Sus scrofa: one gene and its partner. The protein of the gene in region 1 purifies or fractionates together with the protein of each later gene. This does not show direct contact. Links are inferred from orthologs where the notes say so. Each region holds a gene or a part of one and is shown on either strand. Other genes may lie near its edges. The genes, in order: NCAPD3 and SMC4.

Region 1 (3,819 bases):
AACATGGTAGTGGTGGATTGAGGAGGCAGGTTCTCCTCAGTTTTGGTGGGAGTCTAACTATTGAGCTCATCAGGACAATGACCTGAAAGTGGGTTTCGGAGCTGCCACAGATCATGTGCCCTCCCAGCCTGCTCAGCTCTCCAGGGGCAGTGGTGTTAGGTCAGGAGAGGGTTAGGTCAGTGTGAGGTTTAGCATGCTTATGTAGTCATTGAACCTATTTATCTTACATATCAACATGAAAGGATGCTGATACTAAAGAATCACAGACTTCACCCTCATGTGATTGGTGAGTATGTGAGAAGAGCAAAGTGAAGCCCTGGAACTATGACTGTGACTTAGAAAAGAAAGTCAAACAAAATCAAGGACGGTATCTGCAGTTAGTGGCTGTTCTGTGTCCCCACTTACCTGAAAACACTGTGATTCACTTTATTGCGGTGCAGTTGTGAGCAGCACCCCTTTGACTGGAAGGAGTATCTAGACATAGATGATAAAACTGTATATCACCCTGATTTTGGATGAATTTTTACAATGGCCTTGTATTTTTATGGGGGGAAACAGTCATTTAATATGGGACAAAAAAAGGTACAAGTACTTCACTGACATGGCCTTAATCTTGCTAGAGTTCATTTTTCTCTTGCCTTATTCTTACTGCAGAACCAATTCTCTCTGCAGGTGAAGTACATTTTCACCTTAGGAGACGTAGCCCAGCTCTGTCCAGCTAGAGTGGACAAGAGAGCCTTCCTGCTGATCCAGTCCATCCTGGCTGCTTCTCCCAGCACGGACCACTGTAAGGCACCTGCCTACCCTTTGCACCTGCTGCCTGCAGGCTGGGTTAGCCCCCGGAGTAGAGCAGTAAACCTCCTTCCCTCCTACAGTGCCAGCCTCAGATCCAGGCGGCAGTGAGGCCACAGCCTCCCAACCCCTCCCAGGGATCCACAGCTCCATCATGCCCTCCGTGATCAGAGCACATGCCGTCATTGCCTTGGGTGAGTAAGGAGACCTGGGGCAGCCACCTCCACATGTGGTTTTGTCTTAAATAAGCCAGTGATTTAAAAAGCCCCTGAGCTCAGGAGGCAACTATAGAAGCACCCAGATCTGCAGTACACTCTCTATTTATTACCTTTAAACCTGTTCCTGTGACTTTTTTTATACTTGCAATAACACCCTGAGGCCTATTCATGAAGATCTGTATGCCAGGTACTGCACTGAGTTCTAGGAATGAAGAAATAAATTTGCAGGTCACTTTATAAAGAGATAGTCTGATGCTTTCCATGAATTCATATGGTTGTTTATCTTGAGAAGACTGACATCTATGCAATAATTTGAATTTTGATTTTTTTGGGGGGGAGGCTGTGCCCACAACATGCAGAAATTCTAGGGTCAGGGATCAAACCCATACCACAGCTGCAACCTGATCCACAGCAGACAATGCCTGATCCTTAACTTGCTGAGCCACCAGGAAACTCCTTCAATTTCTTGTGACTATATTTTATTCTTGGTATGAGTTACAAATCTTTTTGTAGTAATTTTTTTTTTCAAAAATCTAAGAATTGTAAATAAGAGGAAAACATTCCCCAGGCAATAAAAGAAAAAAAGGTGTGATAAATGACATGATTGTGTATTTGACTCACTCACATTTCAAGTTCATTCTTCAATTTCTTAGCTTCTATCAACTATAAGTATAATCTAAAGTAAAATGTGGAGTTGCCCATTGTGGCTCAGCAGGTTAAGAACCCAACATAGTGTCCATGAGAATGCAGGTTTGATCTCTGGCCTCGCTCAGTGGGTTAAAGATCTGCCATTGCTGTGGCTGTGGAGTAGGCCCCAGCTATAGCTCCAATTTGACCCCTAGCTCGAAACTTCCATATGCTGCAGGTGCAACCGTTAAAAAAAAAAAGAGAGAGATGTAAAATGTATCATGGGTTTTATCGGTCATTTTCCAGGTAATTAGCTCCAAAACTCAAGCGCTGGTGACTTTACTGCAGTAAAGGAACATCTCAGAGTGTCCATCTCAGGACACCCTGGGTTGGGCAGGTGGTATTTTGAACTTCTTACTGTTTTGTTTGAGTTATGTCTGCCTTTGATTTTTTGTGATTGTCGATGTTTTGACTTTGATGAAATAATATCCAAAGCAGGTTACAGCTGGAGAGAAGGCATAGAATAAAGAATCAGGGTATCCCTCTCTTGGTGGCAGGAAAGCTGTGCTTACAGCATGAGGATCTCGCCAAGAGGAGCATCCCAGCCCTGGTGCGTGAGCTGGAGGTGTGCAGCGACATGGCCGTCCGCAACAACGTCGTCATCACCATGTGTGATCTCTGCAAGCGGTACACGGCCATGGTGGACAAGTACATCCCCAACATCTCTGCGTGTCTGAAGGACTCAGAGCCGTTCATCCGCAGGCAGACGCTGCTCTTGCTCACTGACCTGCTGCAGGTGCGCAGGTGGTCTTGCCCCCACCGGCCTGCTCCTGGCCCAGGGGTACCTGGGCAGCGCCGAAGGTGGCTGTGTAGTAGAGTCACAGGAGCCTCAACTGCACTTTCAGATACCACTCTTCCAGTGTTCTGAACAGACTTTTAAGTAGATTCTTACTTCCTAATATTCCTTTTGGGTGTTTGTTCAGAGACCCAGTCTTGCAGGGTGAAATGGTATTTTTACAAATACTCAGCACATAGAGAAAAGTTTACATAGACAAGTAGGTCTAGTTCCCATTCTTTGAAGGGTCCGTGTTCCCAGATGGAACATCATCATTTGTACAGTGAGGACCCTTACCCTTGCCCCGGCATCCCCAAAGACATGCTCTGAGAGCCTGGGAGATGTGTCCACATGAGGGGAAATACTATTTGATCAGAAGGTATTTAAGTGATTTGTGTCTGTTCTGGGCCCTCACTGTCTCCTATGGTGTGCACATCACAAGGGTGCCTCTGACCCTCTTCCTGCAGGGCAGGAGCTCTGAGTCCTTTTCTCCCACAGCCCTGTGCTCTTGGGGTGGGTGGGGTGAGTGCAGATGGCCCTGGAAACAGAGGGGCTGCATGTTGAAGCCCCCATGATGCCTTCTCTCATGCAGGAGGACTTCGTGAAGTGGAAGGGCCCCCTGTTCTTCCGGTTTGTCAGCACACTGGTAGACCCAGACTTGGCTATTGCCAGGTAAGCCTTTTCCCTTATGCCAGACAGCCCAGCAATTGGCCTAATTTCTGGCAAAGATCTCTTTTCTTTAAAAGCGAGTTGTTTATGTACGATTTAGTGATTTTTAAAATACTAAGCTATATAATAAAGCTTTAGTTTGCTTGTAAGTTTAAAAAGAAAAAAGCCTGGTAGTTCCTGTGATGGCTCAGCGGTTAATGAACCCAACTAGCATTGATGAGGACGTAGGTTCGATCCTTGGCCTTGCTCAGTGGGTTAAAGATCTGGCGTTACCATGAGCTGTGGTGTAGGTCGCAGACGTGGCTCAGATCCCATGTTGCTGTGGCTGTGGCATAGGCTGTCAGCTTCAGCTCCGATTAGACCCCTAGCCTGGGAACCTCCATATGCTGCAGGTGCAGCCCTAAAAAGACAAAGAAAAAGGAAAAAAAAGCCCTCGCCCAGGTCAACCATTGACTAACCTGCCACTGACCACATTTGTCGACACTTCTGCTCCTTCACACGGAGCAATGAAGAGCAGTGTTTGCCTTTGGTCACCTGTCAGAGCAGAAGCCAGCCAGTGTTAGCAGGAGTTCAGACTTCCCTCCAAGTGCAGAAACTGCAAGAAGAACTCGGAATTAAGACAGGATCGCTTTGTGTGAAATAAGAGTGTACGGTTTACAAAGTTCCTTGGAAATGGCT
Region 2 (3,819 bases), on another chromosome or scaffold:
AGAAAAAAAACCAACACAGAAACCCAACCCAACCCAAGGAGTTCCCATTGTGGCTCAGAAGGTTAAGAACCTGACTATTATCCATGAAGATGCAGTTCTGATCCCTGGCCTCACTCAGTGGGTTAAAGATATGGCATTGCCTCGATTTGCAATATAGGTCATAGACACTGGTCAGATCTCACATTGTTGTGGTGTAGGCCAGCAGTTGCAGCAGCTCCGATTCGACCTCTAGCCTGGGAATTTCCACATGCCAAAGATGCAGCCCTTTAAAAAAAAACAAAAAAAACCAAAAAAAAAAACACAACAAAAAAAACCTCACAAGCACACAAACCGCCCCCCTCCACCAACCATAACCAAAACATTTGGCACTTTCATTCATTTTTTTGCCTTCTCTTAGGGCGGAATGTGCAGCATATGAAAGCTCCTGGCTAGGGGTCGAATGGGAGCTGTAGCTACTGGCCTACGCCACAGCCACATCAATGCAGGATCCAAGTCACGTCTTTTAATCTCACCACAGCTCATGGCAATGCTAGATCCTTAATCCACTGAGTGAGGCCAGGGATCTAACCCACATCCTCATTGTTGCTAGTCAGGTTCGTCACTGCTAAGGCGCAATGGGGCTTCCCACTTGGCACTTTAAATTCTGGATAGATTATAAATACCCACCTTATCCAAACCTATAAAGGTTGCAACTCCAATATTTTGTCTTTTTAGGAAGTTTACACATTCTTGGGCTGTATCAATAGAATCAACAACAATGTAGTCTAATGCATGACAACAGGATGAAATGGCAACATCATATTTTTCATCAATTGCTCCTAAGTCCCCCTAATAAGAGAAAGGGAAGGAAAAGGAAAAAAAAAAAGCAAAAAAAAAAAAGCACAATCAGCAAGGTATTAGGCATAGGATCATTTTATTACTATTCATATAGTTTTCAGGTTGCATTTAATTAAAGAACTATACCTACATATGGTTTTACAAAGAACAAAATGAGTATATAACAACAAATTTAAGTGTTCCTCACATTCAACCTTCCCCTTCGGCAGAGGCAATCATTACTAGAATTTTTAATTTACCTTTTAAAGAAGTTTATGGGGAGTTCCCGTCGTGGCGCAGTGGTTAACGAATCCGACTAGGAACCAGGAGGTTGTGGGTTCGATCCCTGCCCTTGCTCAGTGGGTTAACGATCCGGCATTGCCGTGAGCTGTGGTGTAGGTTGCAGACACGGCTCGGATCCCGAGTTGCTGTGGCTCTGGCATAGGCTAGCAGCTACAGCTCTGATTTGACCCCTAGCCTGGGAACCTCCACATGCCGTGGGAGCGGCCCAAGAAATAGCAAAAAGACCAAAAAAAAAAAAAAAAAAAAAAAAAAAAAGAAGTTTATGGGAGTTCCCTTTGTGGCTCAGCAGGTTAAGAACCCAACACAGTGTCTGTGATGATGTAGATTTGATCCCTGCCTCAATCAGTGGGTTAAGGATCCAGTTTTGCAAGCTGCAGCATAGGTTGCAGATGTAACTTGGAGCTGGTGTTGCCAGGGCCGTGGTGTAGGCTTACAGCTGCAGCTCTGATTTGACCCCATGGCCAGGAATTTCCATATGCCACGTGTGGGTATAAAATGGAAAAAGAAAAAGAAAAAGAAAAAAAAAAAGTTTATGGATATAGAGTTTGAATATTTAATGAGCATAAAATGAGAGAACTGTTTTTGTTTTATGTAACTGAAAATGTACCATGTGAAGACTTGAAACCTAAAAAGAACTATAAACAAGGAGTTTCTGCTGTGCTGCAGTGGGTTAAGGATCTGGCGTTGCCACAGTTCTGCCTTGGATTTTTTCTTTTTTTTTTTGTCTTTTTGCCTTTTCTAGGGCCGCTCCTGCAGCATATGGAGGTTCCCAGGCTAGGGGTCCAATCGGAGCTGTAGCCACCGGCCTACGCCAGAGCCACAGCAACGCGGGATCTGAGCTGAATCTGCCACCTACACCACAGCTCATGGCAACACCAGATTCTTAACCCACTGAGCAAGGCCAGGGATCGAACCAGCAACCTCATGGTTCCTAGTCGGATTCATTAATCACTGAGCCACGAGGGAAACTCCAGTTCTGGCTTGGATTTGATTCCTAGCCTGGGAACTTCCATATGCTGCAGGTGCAGCTGAGGGGGGAAAAATACTATAAAGCAAAATAACTTCAGAATAAGAACAAATTATTGGAAGTCATCTAAGATTATGTCTATTAATAAATCAGCTATCAAGGAGCATTAACCAATTAGCTTCATTTTTGCCTTGAGAGCAAATGAATATGATCAAATTGTGTTATCTTCAAAAAGTAAAGTGGAAGTCACCTGACATGCAGATCTGAAAGCAACTATGGTGGGTAATTTTCATTTGCCCTTTTGAATCTCTCTATTCTGCTTCCTTCTCTGGGAGGCTGACTCAGAGACTGCATTAATTGGCTCCTCTGTCTCTCTAGCTTTAGACAATGTGAGGCACCAGCTAGAAATGGCAGGGTAGATGAATGGTGTTGAAATATTTATCTCCCCCGTTTCCTCCCAGCAACCCTCCAGCCAGGGCCACAGCTCCCTTCCTACTTCAGGATTATGAATTCAGGCTTTAGGTCCTATCACCCTTGATTTCCCTAAACTCTAGCCACAGCCTTCAGTAAAATGATATAAAATCCAGAATTTAATTTATCAAATTTTTTTTTCAAAAAAAAGGAAAAAAGTAGTTTTGTGAAGTTTGTCACTAGAATCAGGTCATTTTCTTAAAATGACCATAATTATCCAAAACCAAAAAAACTAGTTCAATTTTCTTTTATTTAACTATTAATATTCTTCATCTTTCCTTTATCAAATAACAACAGTAAATTGAAAAGAGAAAAAAGTAAGAGTTGAATACAAGCGAAATCATCCATGAGCATAAAATAGTTTTACTTCAAAGCTGTATTTCCAACCTAGGTACATTTATAACTCATTTCACCTTATTTTAGCCTTTATCCATCCTCACCTGCATGAAATAGTTTCTCCATGGAAGAGATAATTTTGCATAATATTCAGACTGATGACTTATTTTAAGATATGCTATTGTGTCTCTTACTACAAAATCAATATATATTGTTATACATTTAATAACCATGAACAAGACGAAAAAACCATTTTTAACATGAAGAATCCATTCCACAACGGTTTTTTCATGATTGAGTAGAAAAGCAAAATGCTTAAAAGTGAATGTCTTTTATTTATTCTTTTTTTTTTTTTTTTTTGTCATTTAGGGCTGCACCCAAGGCATACGGAGGTTCCCAGGCTAGGGGTCCAATCGAACTGTAGCCACGGGCCTGTGTCAGAGCCACAGCAATGTGGGATCTAAGCCACGTCTACAGCCTATACCTATACCATCGCTCATGGTAATGCCGGATTCTTAACCCACACCGAGTGAGGCCAGGGATCAAACCCACGACCTCATGGATGCTAGTCGGGTTTGCTAACTGCTGAGTCACGATGGGAACTCCTGAAAGTAAATGTTATTATTTTGCATAAAGAGACTCAACGTGCAGCTCAAGTAAAGTAAGAAAATTATTTACAATGTCTTTGAGAAAGACGTATAGTTATTTACACATAAATTTACTTTACCAATCTTCCATATATTCCTGGAATCCTGCCAGTTTTTTTTTCTTGAATTATTGCATCAAGGACTTTCCCCCTACTTCGATTCATTGCTAAGGAACTCTTTGCTTCTTCAACTTTTTGGAAAAGATCACGAACCAAACTTTTGAAATTAATTTCTTCCTGTGTAAGTTTCTGAAGTTCTTTCTCTTTCTAAACATGAAAA

The links.
Region 2: the proteins of NCAPD3 (region 1) and SMC4 purify together in Homo sapiens (co-immunoprecipitation; 3 studies listed by BioGRID and IntAct, with this or other methods). This does not show direct contact. The link is inferred for Sus scrofa from reciprocal best matches to the Homo sapiens genes NCAPD3 and SMC4.

The regions. Positions count from the first base shown.
Region 1 is NC_010451.4:60,733,332-60,737,150, reverse strand, and holds part of NCAPD3 (condensin-2 complex subunit D3), read left to right. Parts: intron 1-672; coding exon 673-787; intron 788-875; coding exon 876-986; intron 987-2,194; coding exon 2,195-2,433; intron 2,434-3,064; coding exon 3,065-3,144; intron 3,145-3,819.
Region 2 is NC_010455.5:100,102,169-100,105,987, reverse strand, and holds part of SMC4 (structural maintenance of chromosomes protein 4), read right to left. Parts: intron 3,807-3,819; coding exon 3,621-3,806; intron 829-3,620; coding exon 667-828; intron 1-666. UniProt on the Homo sapiens protein: Central component of the condensin complex, a complex required for conversion of interphase chromatin into mitotic-like condense chromosomes.